Linked DNA regions of Schizosaccharomyces pombe. The gene in region 2 interacts genetically with the main gene of each other region. Each region holds a gene or a part of one and is shown on either strand. Other genes may lie near its edges.

The links.
Region 1: mutations in bzz1 (region 2) and atp12 together harm fitness less than expected from each alone (positive genetic interaction), as found in Schizosaccharomyces pombe (one large-scale study listed by BioGRID).
Region 3: mutations in bzz1 (region 2) and mss1 together harm fitness less than expected from each alone (positive genetic interaction), as found in Schizosaccharomyces pombe (one large-scale study listed by BioGRID).
Region 4: mutations in bzz1 (region 2) and cbp7 together harm fitness less than expected from each alone (positive genetic interaction), as found in Schizosaccharomyces pombe (one large-scale study listed by BioGRID).

What each region holds. Positions count from the first base shown.
Region 1 is NC_003424.3:1,485,804-1,490,050, forward strand, and holds atp12 (F1-ATPase chaperone Atp12), read right to left. Parts: upstream 2,388-4,247; 5' UTR 2,253-2,387; coding exon 1,484-2,252; exon of another isoform or gene 1,435-1,483; coding exon 1,328-1,434; 3' UTR 1,060-1,327; downstream 1-1,059. Other genes in the region: SPOM_SPAC9.11 (uncharacterized protein), read left to right, coding at 15-84, 143-1,059; cwf16 (splicing factor), read right to left, coding at 2,967-3,779. UniProt on the Schizosaccharomyces pombe protein: Essential for the assembly of the mitochondrial F1-F0 complex.
Region 2 is NC_003423.3:2,463,912-2,469,637, reverse strand, and holds bzz1 (diacylglycerol-binding protein Bzz1), read right to left. Parts: upstream 3,611-5,726; 5' UTR 3,466-3,610; coding exon 3,427-3,465; exon of another isoform or gene 3,383-3,426; coding exon 3,356-3,382; exon of another isoform or gene 3,302-3,355; coding exon 3,238-3,301; exon of another isoform or gene 3,187-3,237; coding exon 3,066-3,186; exon of another isoform or gene 2,988-3,065; coding exon 1,951-2,987; exon of another isoform or gene 1,905-1,950; coding exon 1,548-1,904; intron 1,505-1,547; coding exon 1,240-1,504; intron 1,172-1,239; coding exon 1,153-1,171; 3' UTR 899-1,152; downstream 1-898. Other genes in the region: SPOM_SPBC12C2.04 (NAD-binding dehydrogenase family protein), read left to right, coding at 1-577; ATP-dependent RNA helicase Dbp5, read left to right, coding at 3,780-5,291; srm1 (spermidine synthase), read right to left, coding at 5,542-5,726. UniProt on the Schizosaccharomyces pombe protein: Plays a role in endocytosis and trafficking to the vacuole. Functions with type I myosins to restore polarity of the actin cytoskeleton after NaCl stress.
Region 3 is NC_003424.3:950,412-955,343, forward strand, and holds mss1 (GTPase mss1), read right to left. Parts: upstream 2,557-4,932; 5' UTR 2,193-2,556; coding exon 2,043-2,192; exon of another isoform or gene 1,984-2,042; coding exon 643-1,983; 3' UTR 501-642; downstream 1-500. Other genes in the region: Ino80 complex subunit Ies6, read right to left, coding at 1-240; nuclear HMG-like acidic protein Mak16, read left to right, coding at 2,702-2,763, 2,817-3,663; eIF2 alpha kinase Hri2, read right to left, coding at 3,944-4,932. UniProt on the Schizosaccharomyces pombe protein: GTPase involved in the 5-carboxymethylaminomethyl modification (mnm(5)s(2)U34) of the wobble uridine base in mitochondrial tRNAs.
Region 4 is NC_003423.3:1,840,965-1,845,975, forward strand, and holds cbp7 (protein Cbp7), read left to right. Parts: upstream 1-2,402; 5' UTR 2,403-2,496; coding exon 2,497-3,567; 3' UTR 3,568-4,039; downstream 4,040-5,011. Other genes in the region: Rho-type GTPase-activating protein Rga4, read left to right, coding at 1-1,802; U3 snoRNP-associated protein Esf2, read left to right, coding at 4,198-5,011. UniProt on the Schizosaccharomyces pombe protein: Translation factor for cob1/cytochrome b; plays a role in cob1 mRNA stabilization and required for correct folding of the protein.

The DNA.
Region 1 (4,247 bases), on a different chromosome or scaffold from region 2:
TCTTTATTATATAAATGGATTCTGCTAACAAAAATACAAAAATATTTGCTGAGCAATTGGGTAATGACTTTACAATTTCAGTTGGTATGTAATGCCGTGTGTTTTTAATGGAAGATTAATAAGTTAATAAAATAAAATACAGATGATGAAGATATGGAAATGGAGTATCCGTTGCGTTCCTCTACGCCCACAAAAGTAATAGACGACCAACGAGAAATCTTGCTTCAGAAAGCATCGCGAATCTCTAAATTAGACGAAGCGCTTTGCGAGCTTAATAATGAATCTAATGGCTCAATAGATTTATCTATTGACAGCTTCATACCATCTTACGATGAATTCTTGCATAAAAAACTACTAAACGAGGATACTGGTCATGAAAGCAAAGTATCAGACCAAGTTAAGCAAGTCATCAGCACTCCTATGAGCACCTGCTTTGAGCAGTGGTTCGAAGGAGAAGAACAATCGTCTACGGGGAACAATCAAGATATATCCTACTCTAGCGTCAACTCTCTATCTCCAAAAAGACGAGGCATCTCTCTTATGTCCATTGATGCTAACAAATTGAGTCCTAAAAAAACTTCCCCAAATTCTGGATACATAACATCTCCTTTAAGGCATCCGATTTTACTTTCCGAAACAGAACCTGGAACCCCAACAAAAAATGATTCACCTGCTTATATCGGATTACCTTCACAACCCAATAGTATAACTACTTTGAATAACACTAACCAGAAATTCCAAGTTCCTGATAATGACAAACCACCTATGTCTTCATTAAATGAACTATCTGCATCCTACAAGCCTATCGTATTCGACTCTTCGCAGCATAAAACTCAAGGCACTGACAATAATGACTCTTTTTACCACGACGATACAAATTGCATTCATCTTTCACGTTTAGAAAAGATTCGGGAGCTTCTCACATTCGTACAGTTGGAACTTAAATATTATGTAGAACCTCTTAAGAAAGAATTACAAGAGACAAAGACTCTATTGGCTCAAAAGGAAGAAGAGATATCTAACCTAAAAGATAAATTACAAAATGCAGGATTATCTTAATTTATTCATTTACATTGATTCATGAATTAATTTTGGGTACCTTGTCAAAACAATTTGGTCTGAAGGATAACTGACATAATAGCTCAGCATATTCGACATGAGGAAACTAATTTAGAATTCTCTGTTCAACGACGGCAACATTACTCTATAATTCTAATTTGGCAATGTGCAGTGTTTTAAGTAAACAGTTGTAGGGTTCTCTTAATTGAGTTCACCCAGAGGGAGCTATTCCAAAAATTTTGTAATTTTTTGAGTTTGCGTATAGCCGTTAGTGGGCATGTTCATTACTTTTGTCATGCATGTCTTCTATGCACCGTGAGAGTATTGCCGAGCTGGCCAACTTATTCTTAAGATCCTCATTGTCTATTTCGTGAGCTGCAGTTGTAAGTATTTAACATTAGAATAATAGAGAGTTTATACATACCATCTTCCAAAGAGCCCCATCGATTTGTTTGGTACTGAAGTTCTAAGTTCGTCAAAGCGGCAGCTTTTTCAGAGTTCAAATATCCTTTTAAAATCATGAAAGAAACTATGAAGCTCTTGCAGCAACTAACAGATCTTTCAAAAGCTGCTAGTTGCCAAGAGTTCAGCGAGCTGAGCCAGTTTCTTATGCGTTCGTGTGTTTCCTGCGTTTGTTTATGGGCAATAATACCAGCATCACCATCCAAATAGCTTAATTGCACACCAAGTTTGTTTTCAAAGGTTTCTTTCAGTGGCCACCAATTTTCCTTTTGCTCCTCCAACAATTTCCCTTCATATTCTGTTTCGGGGGAGTAAATTAGAATTGTGTCGGTGTCAAGGAAACGAATTAATTGAGTAGAAAGTAGTTCCTTTTCTTCTTTTTTGAATTGTGATATGTCAATAGCTCTCGAAACTAGGGAAGTAATTGGGAGATTGTGTTGTCGAACAGAGGTTGATGGTAATCGATCCCATTCTAGGGCAATCAAGTGTGCTAGTAACTCCATTTCTTTAGGTACCTTAACAATCTTCCCAGAAGGTGATTTTAAATTTCGTCCATCTAATTGAATCAAGACTTCTCCATTTTGGATTTTGGTAGCTGTATTCTTCCAAAATCTCCTGAATGATGGTTGCGGCAAAGGAGAGGAAGCTTTTGTAGAGTAAAACGAATAGCACGTTTTAAATGACAGCAAGTTTTTGCTGGATAATCTGTAAAATTGTAAAGATCGAAGCATCTTACAAAAATAGAAAAAAAAGGGTATTCAAGGTGTCTATCTGAGACACTAAAAAATCTTTCGTACTTCAAACTGCCAAAATTTAATTTTTAATTATTGTTTAAGAGTTAATTATTATGATATACGTTTTTAGTTGGTGTTCTCCAAAATATTGGTTACTATGTAAGATGAGTCTAACAATATTTTGTCACAGGCATGATGAGAATAAGTTTTAATATTTTTTTCTAAAAGTAGTTTTTAATTAAGCAAGAAAAAACTCTTTTAAAATAAATTAATAGACGTTCCTATCATAGTTCCTAAACCGTTGTTTACGTTAGCCGCCTTGAATTTAGCTACGATTAAGACTACTTTTTGACAAACCGTAAATGTAAATTGATAAATTACAATTAGATACTCGGAAAATTAGAAGGAACCTTAAAAAAAATCAATTAACATGTGCTGTTAAAAACTTAAAGTTGAAGAATAGATACAAACAAAATAAAACCTTTCTATAAATGCTACGGTATTATTCTACATAACAAACTACATTTACTAATCGAATAATAAAAATTAGAACAGGATATTGACTATCAACTCGCGTTATGAAAATCCATCAAAAACTCATTAAATATTATTACAATAAAAACCTTGCGCTGGTACAAAAGAACATGTACATTTTTAATAGCTTAGCTATAAAAAATGCAAGTAATTAAAAAATTTAGCCATTTATAGACGTTATACCAAAACCTTTTTCTTCTCCATTTTCCTTTTTGCATATTTTGGAGGCTGAAAATTCGGTATATTGGAAGTGGCCAGCTTCTCAGAAACCAAATCTATAGGTTTGGGTAATTCTTTTTCAACCGTTGTTTCTGCATTCAATCTTCTTATAATTTCACCATCCTGAGACGAAAACAACGATTTAGCTTCACGATCAATTTCTTCTTCCTCAAATTTCCGCTTTTTGGACTCCTCTTCTTCAATTGATCCATATGCATCTTCCTTTAAGAGAGCGATTGCATCATCAATGTTAACTCGAGACCTTCGAGCGCTCTTTTCACGTAGTTCGTCGAGTGCATCACTAATTTGCATTTGTCGTTTAGTGTCTAATGTTTTTTGTTCTAATTTTTCCATTTCGTCCTCCTCAGGAATGTCATTGCGTTCAGCTAACTCATTTTCTTCATATTCTTGTAATCTTTTTTCATGCCACGGCTCATAATTCCTGGAAGCTCCACTCTCTGCTGCATAATCTGCATGTTTTGGATCGGTTATAAATGTTATTTCAGCAGCACACCTAGTGCAGCGAATATAAAACCTCAATATATCAATTGAAAAATATTTTTCGCCGGTTTTCTCCTTCCTAGCGTTAAACTTTTTTCCTTTATATATATACTCTCCACAAGTATGACAGCGCATTGAAAATGGAGTCATCAAACGAACAGTCAATTTCCCACCATTTGGTCCTTGAAACTTTTTCTTTTTCTTAGGAGGACGAATGGAAGGATCATAATCGGGCGGGATATACTTGTTAAGTACCTTTCGTTCAGACATTGTTGGAAACTATGAAAAAAAAATGAAATGAACGTACGAGAATTGCTTTACCAAATTCAAAAAAAAAGAATAAATTAAAGTAAGGAAAATTTAACCGTCCTTTTGGGTTGGAATTATTTGACTTTACAGATGAATTTGAAAATGCTAGTTTTATGTGGATATGCGCTTTTTGTAAGCGAATGGCAAAAGTACTAGTACTATCTGTAGTTCTTTGACACTCGATACGTCGCGGTAATAAATTGAATGCGCACATAGCACTACGTAAACATATTTAGTACCATCCTTATATTTCCTTATACAATACCTGAGCTGAGCTATCGAGACGTGAGCAAGCGTTGTTTGTCAATCTTACACCTTCCGGTGTTTTAAGAGTACTTTAGATTCCCTTATAAATTGTGTATTATTTAAATGCTTCTGATTAATTTTGACTGATCAGTCTCCATAGTACTTTACGCTTACAGCAATAGA
Region 2 (5,726 bases):
AAGATATAACTCTGCTTACGAACATAATAACAAACTTTTCTGGTGGTACATGTCAAAGTCTGGTGGTCCCGTCGTTGAGCAAGCTACACATTTCTGTGATTTGTCCATCTATTTCGGTGGTGATGTCGATACTTCTACCGTCAAGGTAAACCGTGTAAACTGGTACGACCCTTGTGGAAAATTAGCTAAGGTTCCTGTTGACGAGGAGTCCATTCCCAAAGAGGAGCGCATCCCCCGTTTCACCGCTGCATCATGGAAATATAAGTCGGGTGCAGTTGGTATTCTCGCTCATAGTATCATTTTACAAGGAACGAATTATGACACTTGTCTAGAGCTTCAAGCAGATGGTCATTATGTTCGTATGGTTGACTTTTACGGTCAACCCAGACTTTACATTCGTTCTCCTGAGGCTGATAGCGAACGCATTATTAATTTCCCCGAAGATGATCCCTATTATAATGAATTTGATGCTTTCTTGGGTGTTGTCCAGGGCAGATATCCTCCTAGCCGCATTTTGTCCAAGTTTGACGACGGCGCTAAGACATACGAGTTGACGAAGATCATTACGAATAATTAAAGTATAGAAGAATTGAACACACAACTTTTTTTTCCTTATATTTTCACCATTTTGGCTTTTTTCTCTTTTTCGTTACCTTTCATGAAAGTTTTCCCTTCGTTATCGGGAATGTTTTTAGACTTAGTTCCAATATCACATGTCGTTTATATGTTTGTTTCAATTTGCAGATTACTTTTGAAAATGTACGATGACATATCACATCCTTCGATTCCTCTCTGTTGTAATGACAATGTGTTTGTATGTATTCGTTAAAAAATTGTTGATCAATTTTCTCGTAACGCGAAACTGTATTCTTCAGTAAACATAAATTTTGGTTACTAACGAAAAAAATATAGCATAGTTCAATTTAAAAAATTTTCCTTAGGCATAGCATTTAGTATAGTTATTATAAATATCTAAAATTCAAAAAAAAAAAGATCAATCTAGCAAAAAAATACTTTGGTGTATCGACCAACTACATTGTAGTGGATAAAAAATCGTAAGTTATTATTGACAATTTGCTTTTCGTAATACATAAAGAAGGTAAAATTTATCAACAATGAAGTAGATAATATTCATATAGATATTTCAATGGTTTATACATCTGTAACATAACTAAGACATATGTTAGTTTTTGTGCAAAGAAATGGAGAAATGAATAAAAAAAAAAAACAAAGACTTACTTAGCTGGGAATTGACCGGTCACTCCATTAAGTATCCCTTCAGACCATCCGTTTCCAGCGTTTCGATTTGTGACCTGAATTATATCACCCTCTTGGATTGATAATTCCATATCGGATTGAGCTGTGTATGCATATAACGCCTTAACATAAGAAGAATCTCCATCAAGTGTCACACTCGTATTTAATTCATCATTCAATTTAACATAAGAAGCTGGAATCAAGCCATCAGTTCCATCGATTTTTACTCGAACCCAACCAGAGCCATCTATATTGATCTATTAGAATGGGATTTTTCAAGCTTTACTTACCATCTGGTTCAAGTAGCGTAAATTCCTGTCCTTCAGAAGCTGTGATTACCCCTTCATGTTCCCCGGTAAAATCGTAAAGAACTACACCGTCAACCTTTGACGCTGGTTCAGCAGGCGTTGTTTCTTCTGTTTTCACGTTGCTTAAGGAAGTTTGATAAATACTACTTGAATCCATATCATCTGTGTATGTGTTACGATAGGATTCATAGGCATTTGAAGACGACGCAGAAGCATCAAAATCATCAGTGGCAGTAACACTGGTATCTACAGCATCATCGTCGGCCACTTCGGGCTCACCATTTTTGCAGTTGGCGGGAACAAGAAGTTCACACCTTGCATGGCATTTGAAGCCACAATCTACACGTGTTTTGTTAGTTAACGAAAGAAAGCAAATATTTCGTACTTTTGCAAACACATCCACGCTTCGATAACCCCCAAATAATTTCACGACAGTAACTGCAACTTGTCGGAAGTTTAAAACTAACATGTTTGAAATCATGAAAACGACCTCCTTCTTCTAAATTATTCGCAACTGACGTGATCTTGTTGATACGAACCTCTAAATCTTCTATTCTGGCCTTTACCATGAGCTCTTTCCCTTCTAGATTTATCGAAGCCTTTTTAGATTCAAATGACTGGTTAGCACTATTTGGATCATCGACGCGTAAACCTTCCAATTGTGAATCTAACGATACAAGCTCGCCTTTCTGTTTTCCAAGGTCATTTTTGGAGTGGACCAGTAAATTTCGGAGGTAGTTTTTACATGAACCATCCACCACCAGTGCATCCGTGTCATGCCAGATAGGACTAGGTTCAAAATGCAAGTCAGCAGGAAGTGCCCAATTCTTTGAATTGTGCCTTCCGAACATGGCAGAATCAAGGACTGGTTCATTTTTTGCAATTTCTGATTGAATTTCAACGGTTCTTTGGGATAAGGTATCATGGAGAGACTTTTCAATTGAAAAGCTGTTACACCATATTTCATTTAAATTCGAAACCCTGTATTCGTTCAATACTTGCATATGATTAAGGAGCGTTGGTAGAGTTTCATTATAAAACTTTTGCTTGTGGGCGTTGTATACAAGCATACGAAGTAGGTATTTATTTTTCTTATCGAGCATATCACTTTCAGATAATTTTAAATTTCTTTGAGTTTTTTGCTCTCGATATTTATCGTTTTTTTGCCTTGCGCTTTCTAAATCATCGCAGGCCTCATGGTAACTGACCTTGGCTCTCTTCACACTGTTTAACAATGTCTCCTTTTCGGATGAGAATTTTTTATATAAATCATCATAAACTTTTCTTAAAGCCTCTATATGAGACTCTAGTTTCTTCAGTTTTTCAGCAATGTCCAATGAATAGTCATCGGATAGCTTTTGATGAGTTTTTGATGAGCGCGTTAACTCATCCAAAATTTTAGACCATGTTGTTAAAGAAGCACTATAAAATTAGCCTGTGAACAGGAATTCAATATCCATCTAACTTCAATTGCTTGACAGGTTCCAATATTTTACATACCATTCTAAAGAGCCAGCAGACATTGCCGGAGTATCTCCGACTGAAAGGGCTGATGATTTTCTGGATTTCTTCTCCCCATATTTATTCGAAAGACTGGCTAATTTCTGAGCATATTCTTTTTCTAGCAACAAAGTTAGTCATTGAAATTTAACCATTGTCGTTTCTTATTTACCAATAGAACTTCTTTCTTTGTAGTACAATTGAATATCTTCAAGCCATTTCGCGCCATTATTAATCTTTGTTACAATGTGTTAATTGTTGAACTGTCTTCATTTTCATTCTTGGCATACCCAACTGTCGACAACTTTAAAATCGTCCTTTTATATATTAGTAAATATGCCAAATAACTAAAACACCTTACGTGAAGTTCATCACTAAATTTGTATGTTTCCAGGCTCATTATCCAGTATTATCTACACGTTTGATATCGCTGCAATAAAAATTTGTACCGGATATAAAACAATTAAAAAGAAAGTTTGACGGAAGAAATTGTGACAATTTTTGGCTTTACGTTACGAATGTTGATGAAAAGGAAGTACGGTGGTGAATCGAAACCTATATTGTTCAACTTTCACTTAAGGAGTAACTTAGCAATCACCAACTACATTGCCCACCAGAAATTGTCATCCAGTTTGCTAAGTCATCCTTGCTGAGTTTGGATATCTGAACTATAAATTTGATTTTTTTTATTTTTTTTACTAAAAAACATCCAAAATGTCAACTACACTGGGACAGGAAAGCAAAACTGACTGGGCTAGTTTGGACTCTGATGAAGAGGTTCAAAGAATTAGTGATAAAGTCAATCAGTTAAATACTTCAGAAAATAAAAATGAAGATCAAAAAGCAACAAATTTAAGTGACAGATTAGGTCCAAAAATCACTGAGAATGTTGATGCAAAATCTGAGCAAGACAAAGCGACCAACACGATTGCAGAGGACGCCAATACGAAGCAATCTGAAAATGATGAATCTAATTTAATACCAAATAAAAACGAGGTTCGTGTAAAATTAGCAGATCTACAGGCTGATCCAAACTCACCTCTTTTTTCTGTTAAAAGTTTTGAAGAGTTGGAGCTCAAGCCCGAATTATTAAAGGGAATTTATTCAATGAAATTCCAAAAACCCTCAAAAATTCAAGAGAAGGCGCTTCCACTTTTACTCTCAAATCCTCCTCGCAATATGATCGGACAATCACAATCCGGAACTGGTAAAACCGCTGCATTTGCATTAACGATGCTTTCTCGTGTTGATGCTTCTGTTCCCAAACCTCAAGCTATCTGCCTCGCTCCTTCTCGTGAATTGGCCCGTCAGATTATGGATGTCGTGACGGAGATGGGCAAATATACTGAAGTAAAAACAGCTTTTGGTATTAAAGACTCCGTCCCTAAAGGTGCAAAAATCGATGCTCAAATTGTAATCGGAACGCCTGGCACTGTGATGGATTTGATGAAGAGAAGACAGCTTGACGCTCGCGATATTAAAGTATTCGTGTTAGATGAGGCAGACAACATGTTAGATCAGCAAGGATTAGGAGATCAATCTATGCGTATCAAGCACCTTCTTCCTAGAAACACTCAGATTGTTCTTTTCAGTGCTACCTTTTCGGAACGCGTTGAAAAGTACGCTGAACGTTTTGCTCCCAATGCTAATGAAATTCGTCTGAAGACTGAGGAGCTTTCTGTTGAGGGAATCAAGCAGTTGTATATGGATTGCCAAAGTGAAGAACATAAATATAATGTTTTAGTGGAATTATATGGGTTATTGACTATTGGTCAATCAATTATATTTTGTAAGAAAAAGGATACCGCTGAAGAAATTGCTAGGCGTATGACTGCAGATGGACACACTGTTGCTTGTCTTACCGGTAATCTGGAAGGTGCACAACGTGACGCTATTATGGATTCATTCCGAGTAGGTACTTCAAAGGTTTTGGTTACTACGAATGTAATTGCTCGGGGTATCGACGTATCGCAAGTCAACTTGGTTGTAAACTATGATATGCCTTTAGATCAAGCAGGAAGACCCGATCCACAAACATATCTTCACCGTATAGGTCGTACCGGTAGGTTCGGCCGTGTTGGAGTAAGTATCAATTTTGTTCACGATAAAAAGAGTTGGGAAGAAATGAACGCCATTCAAGAATACTTCCAACGTCCCATCACGCGAGTGCCTACAGATGACTACGAAGAGCTTGAAAAAGTTGTCAAGAATGCACTTAAAATGTAAAGCATGTTGATTTTTAGAGATTATTTAATACATAGGTTTCTTGGTACCAATTACTAAAGGAATATTATTTACTTATGCTGGTATTTCACTGGTTTTTTTGCATATCAACTACCGAAAGAGAACGTAATCTCACTTACAAAAAGTAGAGAGCAGAAGTGTGAAAACAAAGAAAAAAGAGTATACATTTTGACTTAAGATTGCATTGATTAAGACGTATGAAACTTTAGCCAAAAAAAATAAAAATGTTTGCTTAAGAGGAGGTAGCCTTGTCAACGACATCACGAGCAAAGGTAGGAAGAACAAAGGAAGCAGCATGAATTTCACTGTTATAGTACTTACAAAGCTTATTCTCTTCTTCGGGAGACCACTTGCGAAGAGGCTTGCTAAGGTCGATGGAAGCATCCTTGGAGGCTACAACGAAGCCGATAGATCCAG
Region 3 (4,932 bases), on a different chromosome or scaffold from region 2:
GGGATCTGTGTAAATAGCCAGTAATCCAGTAACATCGCAATATTTCGGTTGAGGGAGGACACTAGGCGGTGCTTCTATCGATGAGTAAGAAAATTTGCTTGGTTCATTTTGTACTGGGTCATTTTGAATAATTTGTCGTAGATTCCGATTTCGCCTAGGTTGTGCTTTATAATTGGGATTTCGAAATGGCCTTGCAAGTAAACTGATGTCTAAACTATCGACAGAACTGTTTTTTTCCATGAAACTGATAATCTTGATGATTTGGCTATGGCAAATTGAAAGCCGCACTTCTTCTATGTATCGTTGTATCCTTGACTACCATTACTAAAGGTTCGTCTGATGTCGTTAATTCAGCTCAAGCCATTAGTGAACGAGTATTAACACGCCCTCCTTAATTCTAAACTCATTAGCTGCTAAATTGTAAATACACATATTACGTGAAAGCAAATAAATTTGATGAATAAATAATTCAATATTTTGTATTTTGAAGTTTTGAACGCGTTTAGAAATGTAGACTTTTACCAATAATACCATGTTGTCTGTCCATTTTTCTCTAAATAAACTAACGAATTCATAAATAAGATGAGATTTTAAGTTGCAGCTTAACATTTGTCAACGAGCTTGCATAATTGTACAAATGCATTACTTTCCAACACAGAATTTTGAGAAAATGACAGAGAAAACGTTTTCCATGTCGACTGCCCCAGTTACTCGACCTATGTCTTCGGTAGCTAGCTTCACCTCTTCGGCAGCAACTACGATGTCTGAGCTTTTTTGCAGGGCCAAAGAAAGATGGCTGGAACAACTTGATAAACATTGACGCTGACGTTCATTCCAACCCAAATTTGCTTGAATTTTATTATTAGTAAGAGGGTTGACCATACACTCGAAAGTAGAGGAAAGAGCTTGCAAGAAATCAATAAGTCCTTCTTTTGTTTTGCAAGAAACTGCATGTATTCTATTTTCAGGAATCAAAAAATTTTTCTGAAGATAAGCTTTAATGGGCTTAAACATAGTTGTGTAATCCGAAACGCAGTCGACTTTGTTTATTAGAAAATGAATAGGTTTTCTTTGACGAAGGCAATCTTTAATGGTTTCCAAAATTTCTGACTGTTTTAAAGATTCGGAAAAAGAATGGTAGTTTATGGGAAAAACAAAAAGTGTTAACTGGGATTCTTCCGCCCTGGCTTTCGCAATTTCAATACCAATTTTCTCAATTTCCTGAACGTCTTCTCCTTTTCTGAGTCCTGCTGTATCAGAAAGCAATACTGGAAATCCATTTATATCTACTAGTACTTCGATAGCATCTCTTGTCGTTCCAGATTGAGGACTTACAATTGATATTCTGCGGTTAGCTAGTAAATTAATTAAACTCGACTTCCCAGCATTGGAAGGCCCAAGAATAGCCACATTAATACCTTTCCTCAGAACTTCTTTACATTTTCCTCCCTCTATATGAGCGTCTATTTCATCTTTCATTTCATTCAATTCCTCAAACAACTTGATCGTTTCAATATCGTCCAGTTCATGTTCTTCTGAAAAATCAATTGACGCTTCCAAAAAAGCACGATATTCGATAAGCTTTTTTCTCCATCGAAAACAAATATCATAAATGGAGCCATGTGCTTCTTTATTTGCACTGTAAAGTTGTTCGGCTGTCTGCGCATTGATAACGTCTATTAATCCTTCCAGTTGCGTCAAATCTGCACGACCGTTATAAAATGCTCTTTCGGAAAATTCTCCTGGCTTAGCATAGCGAATATTCGGAATTCCTGACTGCTTTATGGCTTCAAGTGTTACATCCACCACAGCTGTCCCTCCATGTAATTGCAATTCAACAACATCTTCACCTGTAAAAGATGAAGGCTTTTTAAAATATAACATCAATGCTTTGTCAATGACTTCAGAACGCACTGGGTGTTTGATCGTCCTCAGGGACGCTATACGAGGTTTTGGCACACTTCCTGCGAGTGTTTTTGCTACCTAATATTAGTTGTTAGTAAATGATCGGTTTGTTCTAGATTTATAGACATTTGCCTTACCTTGCATGCATTTGGGCCAGAAATACGAACAATTGCAACAGCAGATGTACCGGGAGGAGTTGATAATGCATATATAGTAGGAATTTGATGAACGAATCTTCTAAAGCATGCTTGAAAAGTATTTAAAAAGACTCGATTTAATATTCGCATGCTTTTTTATCTTCCAACATTAGTTTAACAGTAGTAAATTGATTAATTATCTCAAACAAGACTGAAGATTTGACGTTATTAGTTGCTTTGGTAGTTAACTTCAAAATTAAGCAGTAAGCTTCTTAGCTTATTGCAAAATTATACATACGGAAGCAATTATCTAATCAATCAATCAACAGTTTAAAAATCAAGTATAAATGATCGTAAATTGCAATTGAAGAATTTTTAGGAGATTAGCAAGCCAATATAGTTAATGAAAAGTATCAATGGTTATTAATAAATCATCGAAACTAAAGAAGGATTAATCCCAAAAACGAACGCTACACCAAACAACTAAACAACTGTAATTTAATGTTGGATATCTGCAGTCTACTTGATCCATGCATTTGCACAACATTACTTACAATTTTTCCCGTTAATAATATTTACCGCATTCTCTTAAAATTCGTTATATGGTTGATTCTTGAATTTGTTAATTGGATTTTCTTTACCAAGCGCCATACTCGAAAATGCAGCAAGACGAGGTGATTTGGCAGGTTGTAGGTCATGAATTTTGTTCATATAGGATCAAGTAAGTTGATTTCGCACTTTTAGTATTACATTATAACCTAACACAATTTTTAGAGGGGAGGCACAAAATTTTTGCAGAAATGAATACAATGTCACTGGGTTGTGCAATAGACAATCATGTCCATTGGCTAACTCCAGATATGCCACAGTACGGGAGGATAATGGAAAGCTGTATCTTTACATGAAAACTATAGAACGTGCGCATTTTCCATCGAAACTTTGGCAACGGATAAAGTTATCAAAAAATTACGCTAAAGCGTTGGAGCAAATTGATCAACAGTTATTGTATTGGCCTGGTCGTCAAATCCACCGCTGTAAGCAAAGACTAACCCGCCTCACTCAGTACCTATTGAAGGCTAGACGATTGGCATTAAAACACCAACCAGCATTAATTCCCATTAAGCCTAAACAAGCGCATCGTGAAGCTTCTCGTGAAAGAAAAGCACTTATTGCCGCCAAATTAGAGAAAAATATTGAAAAAGAATTGGTTAAGCGACTTAAAAGTGGTGTTTATGGTGATCAACCTTTGAATGTTAATGAAGAAATATGGAACAAGGTACTAGCCGCACGTGAGGGTTTAATTGATGAAGGCGAGGAAGAGGAGGAACGAGAAGAAGCTGAATTAGAATTTGTTAGTGATGATGAAGATGAAGAAGAAATCTCTGATTTGGAAGATTGGCTCGGCTCAGATCAGTCCATGGAAACTTCAGAGTCTGAAGAGGAGGAAAGCTCAGAGTCTGAATCCGATGAGGATGAGGATGAGGATAACAAAGGAAAAATCAGGAAACGTAAGACCGACGATGCAAAGAAATCCAGGAAGAAGCGCGCTCCTCATATTCATATTGAGTATGAGCAAGAACGTGAAAATGAAAAAATACCTGCTGTTCAACATTCTTGGTAAAAAAAAAAAAAAGGTTTTGAATGTTATCTTTTTTTAAGGGATTCTGTTCAATAGTTTTTACTTTGTCGTTTTTATTTTGGATTATTTAGGTGTATAGATATGAATGGTTTTAATAATAAGGAATTTATCGGAGCTTTTACAAACAAAATTAGCTTTAATGTATCCTTGCTTTATTTTATTACTTGTGGCATAAAAGCGTTAGATATAAATAATGCTATACTTTCGGGAAACTGAACAAATTGACTGGAAATTTAAGTATTAAAAAGTGAAGATTTTTAGTTTAGCGGGTTTCAAGATGTTGAATCCTGGATCGTAGAACAGCAATTTGTTCACGCAGTCGCTGATTTTCATCCATTATAAGTTTCATTTGAGTTTCAACATCCAAGTGGTTTGTTGATACAATATTTGATATATTTGGCATTGAGACTTGGTTAGGTAATAATAGTCCACAATTGAGAACTTCCAGAAGTGATGGTCGCTTCGTGGGGTCTTTGGCTGTCATCCATAAAATTAAACTTGACTCACAAATATGTTGCTCAACGAACTCTTCAGGAAGATTTCCTCGACGAAGGTCTTGAAGTTTTGTTGCACGTTCCATATTTGTTTGAAACGGGTGCAACAGCTCAAACAAAACCATTCCTAATGAGAATGTATCGATTTTTTTTGTAAATTTATTATGCTGAGAAGACATAGCATCTAGCAATTCCGGAGCCGCGTAAGTTGCAGTGCCTATATGCTGAGTCTCATCTTGCAGATTAGGCAAGTGGTTTCGTTCAAGAAAAGAAAGTGCGGTTTCTGTGTTTTTTTTATTTTCAACAACGAGTCCAAAATCACCAATCTTAGGAGTAATGTATTCTTTCAAATCGTTTTTATCATTATAACTAATTAAAGGAACAGACCCACGGTCCTCCGGTAAAGATTTAGCAAGAAATATATTGCTGGGTTTGATATCTCGATGGATCAAGTTCACACCTTCATGTACGTACATAACGCCATTAATTATCATTCGGAATAAATCCGTATGCAGTTGTATTTGTTCCTTACATAGTGGGAATGAAAGAAAATGGTTTCTTCTTATTAGATAGGACTCTAGATCATCAAAGCAAAGCTGCATTTGAATATAAATAATAAAAGAATGAGTGGGTCCAGTTTTAGATATGTGCATGCTACTAGAATAGTCGTCATCCAAGATGGTGGTATTATTAAAAGTAGAAACATTAGAGTCATGAAGATTACGAGGGCTTTCTAAATTCTCAAAGTTAGAAGATT
Region 4 (5,011 bases), 620 kb from region 2:
TTTCGACAACAACATCACCATCTAAATATGGATATGTGTCTGGCAGAATAGCTCTATCTCCTATCCATTTAAGGGGTGCTCTTCGTGATGTCACAAATAAATGTAATTTAAAGGTTCCTAGAAATCGAAACAGTTTATCTAATCTTGACGAATATTACGTTAACGGATTGGAAAGCGACGAAACTCCTACAAAGGCTAGATTTCCTAGATATCCTACGGTATTTAATAAGTTAGATGACAAACGACTTAGTAGCGAACCAAACGGCTTGAAGAAAAGATTGACGAACTCTTCAAATTATGAGGCTTCCCCGCGGGCCAAAAGTTTAAATTTGTCGCAAGTTAGTTTGCATCAAGCATGTGAACCTGAATACAATCGAAGTTCTTTGGTTAGAGCAAGTGATGTGTTTACTTCAAACGTATTTGATGCTACAGAGGAAAGCGCAAATGAACTCGCCATTCGTATTTCAGAGCTTCAAGCTGAGGTTGGAACCTTATTGTTGGAAGCGACTTCGTTGGCTTCTATCATAGAGCAGCAGACTCCCGTGTCCCCCGAAGCTTTCAAGCAAGAGTTGGTTGCAGATTTAAATTATAGATTAGATTATTTACGGAAATCTTTTCAACCTGAACTGTCTACCTTACTTTTGAGGCGAGACGCTTTGTCTACGACTGTCTCTAAATTGCAAAACGCTTACAGCACTGTAATGGAAGAAACCGCATATCTGAATGTTAAGAACACAGAACTGGTAAGCCTTAACAATCAATTGGAGAGAGAATTGGCATACTTGAGGGAGCAGCAGCATAAGAAGCGAACTTCTTCCTCTTTCGGAATATTTAATAATGATAAAAAATCCAACCGAACGATTTCAACCCCGTCTCCGCGAGAATCGTTTTCGCGTCTACAAATGGTTGCATCTAGCCTTGGATTTAGACCCAAAGACAATAAAGACAAGGAGAGTGGAGGGTATAACAAACGGAACTCTAAAATAGATCTTAAGAAGTCATTTTCTAAACGGTTTCATTGGAAAAGAGATTCTCCTCACATGTCGAGTACTCCCAGTATTTCTGAAGAACATTTAGCTTCTGAAGAACAAGAGGATTTCGTTCCAGCGGTCGGTCACTGCAAACTTTGCGGTAAATACTCCAATGAGCTTAGAGCACATTATCAGGATTGCGTTAGTTCTACTATAGATCGTCAGTATCAATCTAAAAAAAGCGAATCTCCTGTTTGGGCTTTGAATCCTGACGACTTCGATCAAAACAGGCTAACACTCTTGAGAGTCCCGACGCTTATCGTTTCTTGTATAAATTTTATCGAGTCATACGGCATGGATTTTGAAGGTCTGTATCGCAAATCAGGGGCAACTTCTCAAATGAAAAAAATTGTTGCGTTACTAAGAAATGAAGATACGGTACTTGATCCAAGTGAGGATATTTCTGCTGTCACTTCTGTATTCAAGCAATATCTTCGCAACCTTCCTAATCCAATTATTACCTATGACCAATACTTTCCGTTCATCACAGCAGCAAATTGTGCCTCTTTCCAAGATAAATTAGACGGTTTTATAATGGTCATCAAAAGTCTTCCTCCAGCTCATGCTGAAATTTTGCAGCTCATTATTAGACATTTAGCAAGGGTTGCTGCATATAGTCATGCAAATCGAATGACATCCAAGAACCTTGCAGTAGTATTTTCCCCAACATTAATACGCGACCCCGATAATTCCAGAGACGTTATTGACATGACTGTTAAGAATTACAGTCTTGCGTTTTTGATAGATCATGTACATGAAGTCTTTGCCTAAATTCACACTATCCTTTAATAATTCGCTCTTTTGTTTTGCACGTTCCTTTATATTCTTTATTCGTCTTTTTTTGTTGTTTTAGTAGTTGTACCATAACTTTGGGCAGTTATATCGAGATTCCTTTTTGCATTTGCTAAGATAGTTTCATTTTTGGTCATTTTTAGATGTCATCGTGAAATCAGTGGCAGATGAGTGTTTTATGGATTTGGCGTATAGCTTCTTCATAATGCATTATCACTGCAGACTGACATCCATCGCTTTTATTTAATCATTTCCCTGTTTTAGTCTACTTGGCATTACTCACAATGCTAGGCTATGAATAAAATGCAATTGCATGTATAAAAAAGGAGAAATTTGTATTTTTTTTTAATTTTATTATGCTTTCAAGGATTTAAAGAAGCATTTTTTCCCAAGATCCCTAACTTAGGAAATGCTAGTGCAACGTATTGTGAGTAAGTGATTTTGTAGATATATCATGCCCATTATCTTAATGGAATTCTAAAAAACCAAAAGCAATTCCTATAAACAAAAATTATATACGTTATATGGTAAATTTTTTGAAGGGGGTTAAATAGAGTTTCGAACGTCTAACAAAAAACCAACTCCTGTTTTACTACCACTTTTTTTTGAGAAAAGAGGGTCTTTAAGCAGGATATTTTATTATCTATGTGAACAAAATTACGGAATTTTACTAATGGCAGATGTTATTAAACGATGCATTTTGGGCCCGACTGAAGCCGGCTGGTTCGTCGCAAAGTCTCAAATAAAAAAACCAGTTGACCAAAGACCGGTTATCCTAACCCATTGTAAGCTGCACAGCAAAATGCTAGAGCCAAAGGCGATTGTTTATAAAAAAAATTCATCTGCAATTCCTAAACGAGTTGACAACATTCTTCTTCGAAGTCAAAAGCCCAAACATATAGAATGCCTACTTGTGGACTCTAAAATCACCAAAACAAGGAGCCTTTTGAAAAGATTTGGAAGCTGTCTTGATGAAACTAGTACCATTGTACTTTTAAATCAAAGTGTTTCCTTGTGGGAGGATTGCTACAGTTTATTTCCAAAGACTGAAACCAGACCGCGAATATACCTTGGCAGGTTCCAAACTCTATTCAAATCTTTTCCATTTAATTTAATTAGTGATTCTTTCAGTTATCGTCTCAACCTTAGCAAACTTCCTCGTACACCTTTGGAGAAGTGTACGGTAGCTAGAGCCTGTAAACAGTTTCCGTTAAACCAAAGGTCCCCTTTACTTGACTTGATGGGTTCCTTTGAAAGGGACTATGTAAATTTTTCAAATTTTTCACAGATGCTTTCTGCACAGTTATGTGACTCTATGGCTTTTTTAATTCAAATTTTTCCTACTCCATTACTCAGGCAAAAAGCTGCGAATGCGTGGATCGAAGTACTTTCTAAATTACCATATTTCCATATTCTTGATAAATCATTTTTTTCTCCCCACTTGTTACTTCAAAGCTCTGAAAATCAAGCATGCAAATTTTTTAATATTGGTCCTCAAGTTTATTTCGATCCTAGGGAAAGATTGCTTCATGTTAAGGAGTTACTGAAGTTCGCTTTAAAGCATATTGACAGTAATGATTCTCTATTTACATTCTTAAAGCAAACTTGTTATACTTGTGATTCGCCTTATGCTAAAGTGTTTCAGCCCGATAAACAGTCGTTTCATAGCATAATTTCAAGAAAGCGTCTTGCTCATCTTGAAAAGGAATATTTTGATAAGGATGTATCCAAATTAGTGCTTTGATTTGATATGAGGTGAAAAATTGACCGAACATATTCCATCTACTGGTAATTTAACTGTTCAATCCGTTCTAATAAATTCACCATAATTTCGAGAGAAGGTTGTTTTCAATTTTTTATGTTAAAAAGAAAAAGCAAAAGAAATCTAGGGATAAAATATCGCTAAATTTAATTCTTAGCCTGATCCAAAAGCTACTGAAGACTACTGTATCTCAGATAAAGCATTGTCAATTATAACCACTCCCCCATGATGTTTCATTCTTAGTCACTCCTTTGTTTATCTTCGAGGATTCACTCATCTTTCAAATAATTTGAACACCTATACTTTGTTGAGATTGCAAACAGCCTCTATTACCTTTTTATTGATCATAGATCATTAACTTGAAAAATGTTAGTTATAAATAACATAAAATATTACTAAAATCATTTCATTCTCATCTTTTTTCACGGTTTTCCTTTTTAGGTAACAATTTATTGTCACTTGAAATTCATGAAACTCGAGTGTATAGAAGTTTTCATTTCTACAATTTAGGCGTTTCGAAGATTAAGTTGTTGTGGCATAGAATTTCTTTAAAAGATTACTTCTTAACTTTTAGATTGAAAAGTAAACCAACAAGCAAATCATTAGCCAAATATGTCTACAGCTGAACAATTATTTGGGGCCGAAGAAGAAGAGAAGTACGTTGACCAAGATTTGAGTGAAGATGAAGAAGATGAACGATTTTTAAAAGCTATTCGTTCCTCAAGATCAACAAAACCAGTTGTAGACGTTTTAAAGGTCAAATCTGAAAGCTCCGCCGATGAGCTTGAGGAACGAGATGCCCATCTTGATCGCTTCCGGAGAGATTCCACGTTCGAGTCTGAAACTTCAGACCATGAAGACTTTTCAGGCGGCTCTGAAAATGAGCTGGATGAGGAGACCACAAAAAATGCAAATTCTATAAAAAAAATATCACTTGAAGAAGTTGAAAAGCAAAGAAAAGCTATTAAGCGTTCAGGAGTTATATATCTTTCTCGTATCCCTCCTTACATGGCACCAAACAAGCTTAGACAAATTCTTTCTCAGTATGGAAAAATTGGAAGGGTATATTTAACACCTGAGTCATCAGCTAAGAGGGCACAAAGGCTGAGAAATGGCGGAAATAAAAGAGTAATGTATGAAGAAGGTTGGATTGAATTTGAAAGCAAACGCGTTGCCAAATCAGTTGCAGAATTGCTTAATACAAATCAAATTGGTGGTAAAAAGAGCAGTTGGTATCACGATGATATATGGAACATGAAATATCTTCCTAAGTTTAAATGGCATCATCTCACTGAACAAATTGCTGCTGAGAATGCCGCCCGTGAATCTCGCCTGAAGGTTGAAATTGAGCAGGGTCGCAAGCAGTTAAAACAATATATGAGAAATGTTGAAAATGCCAAAATGATTGAAGGTATTCGTAAAAAGC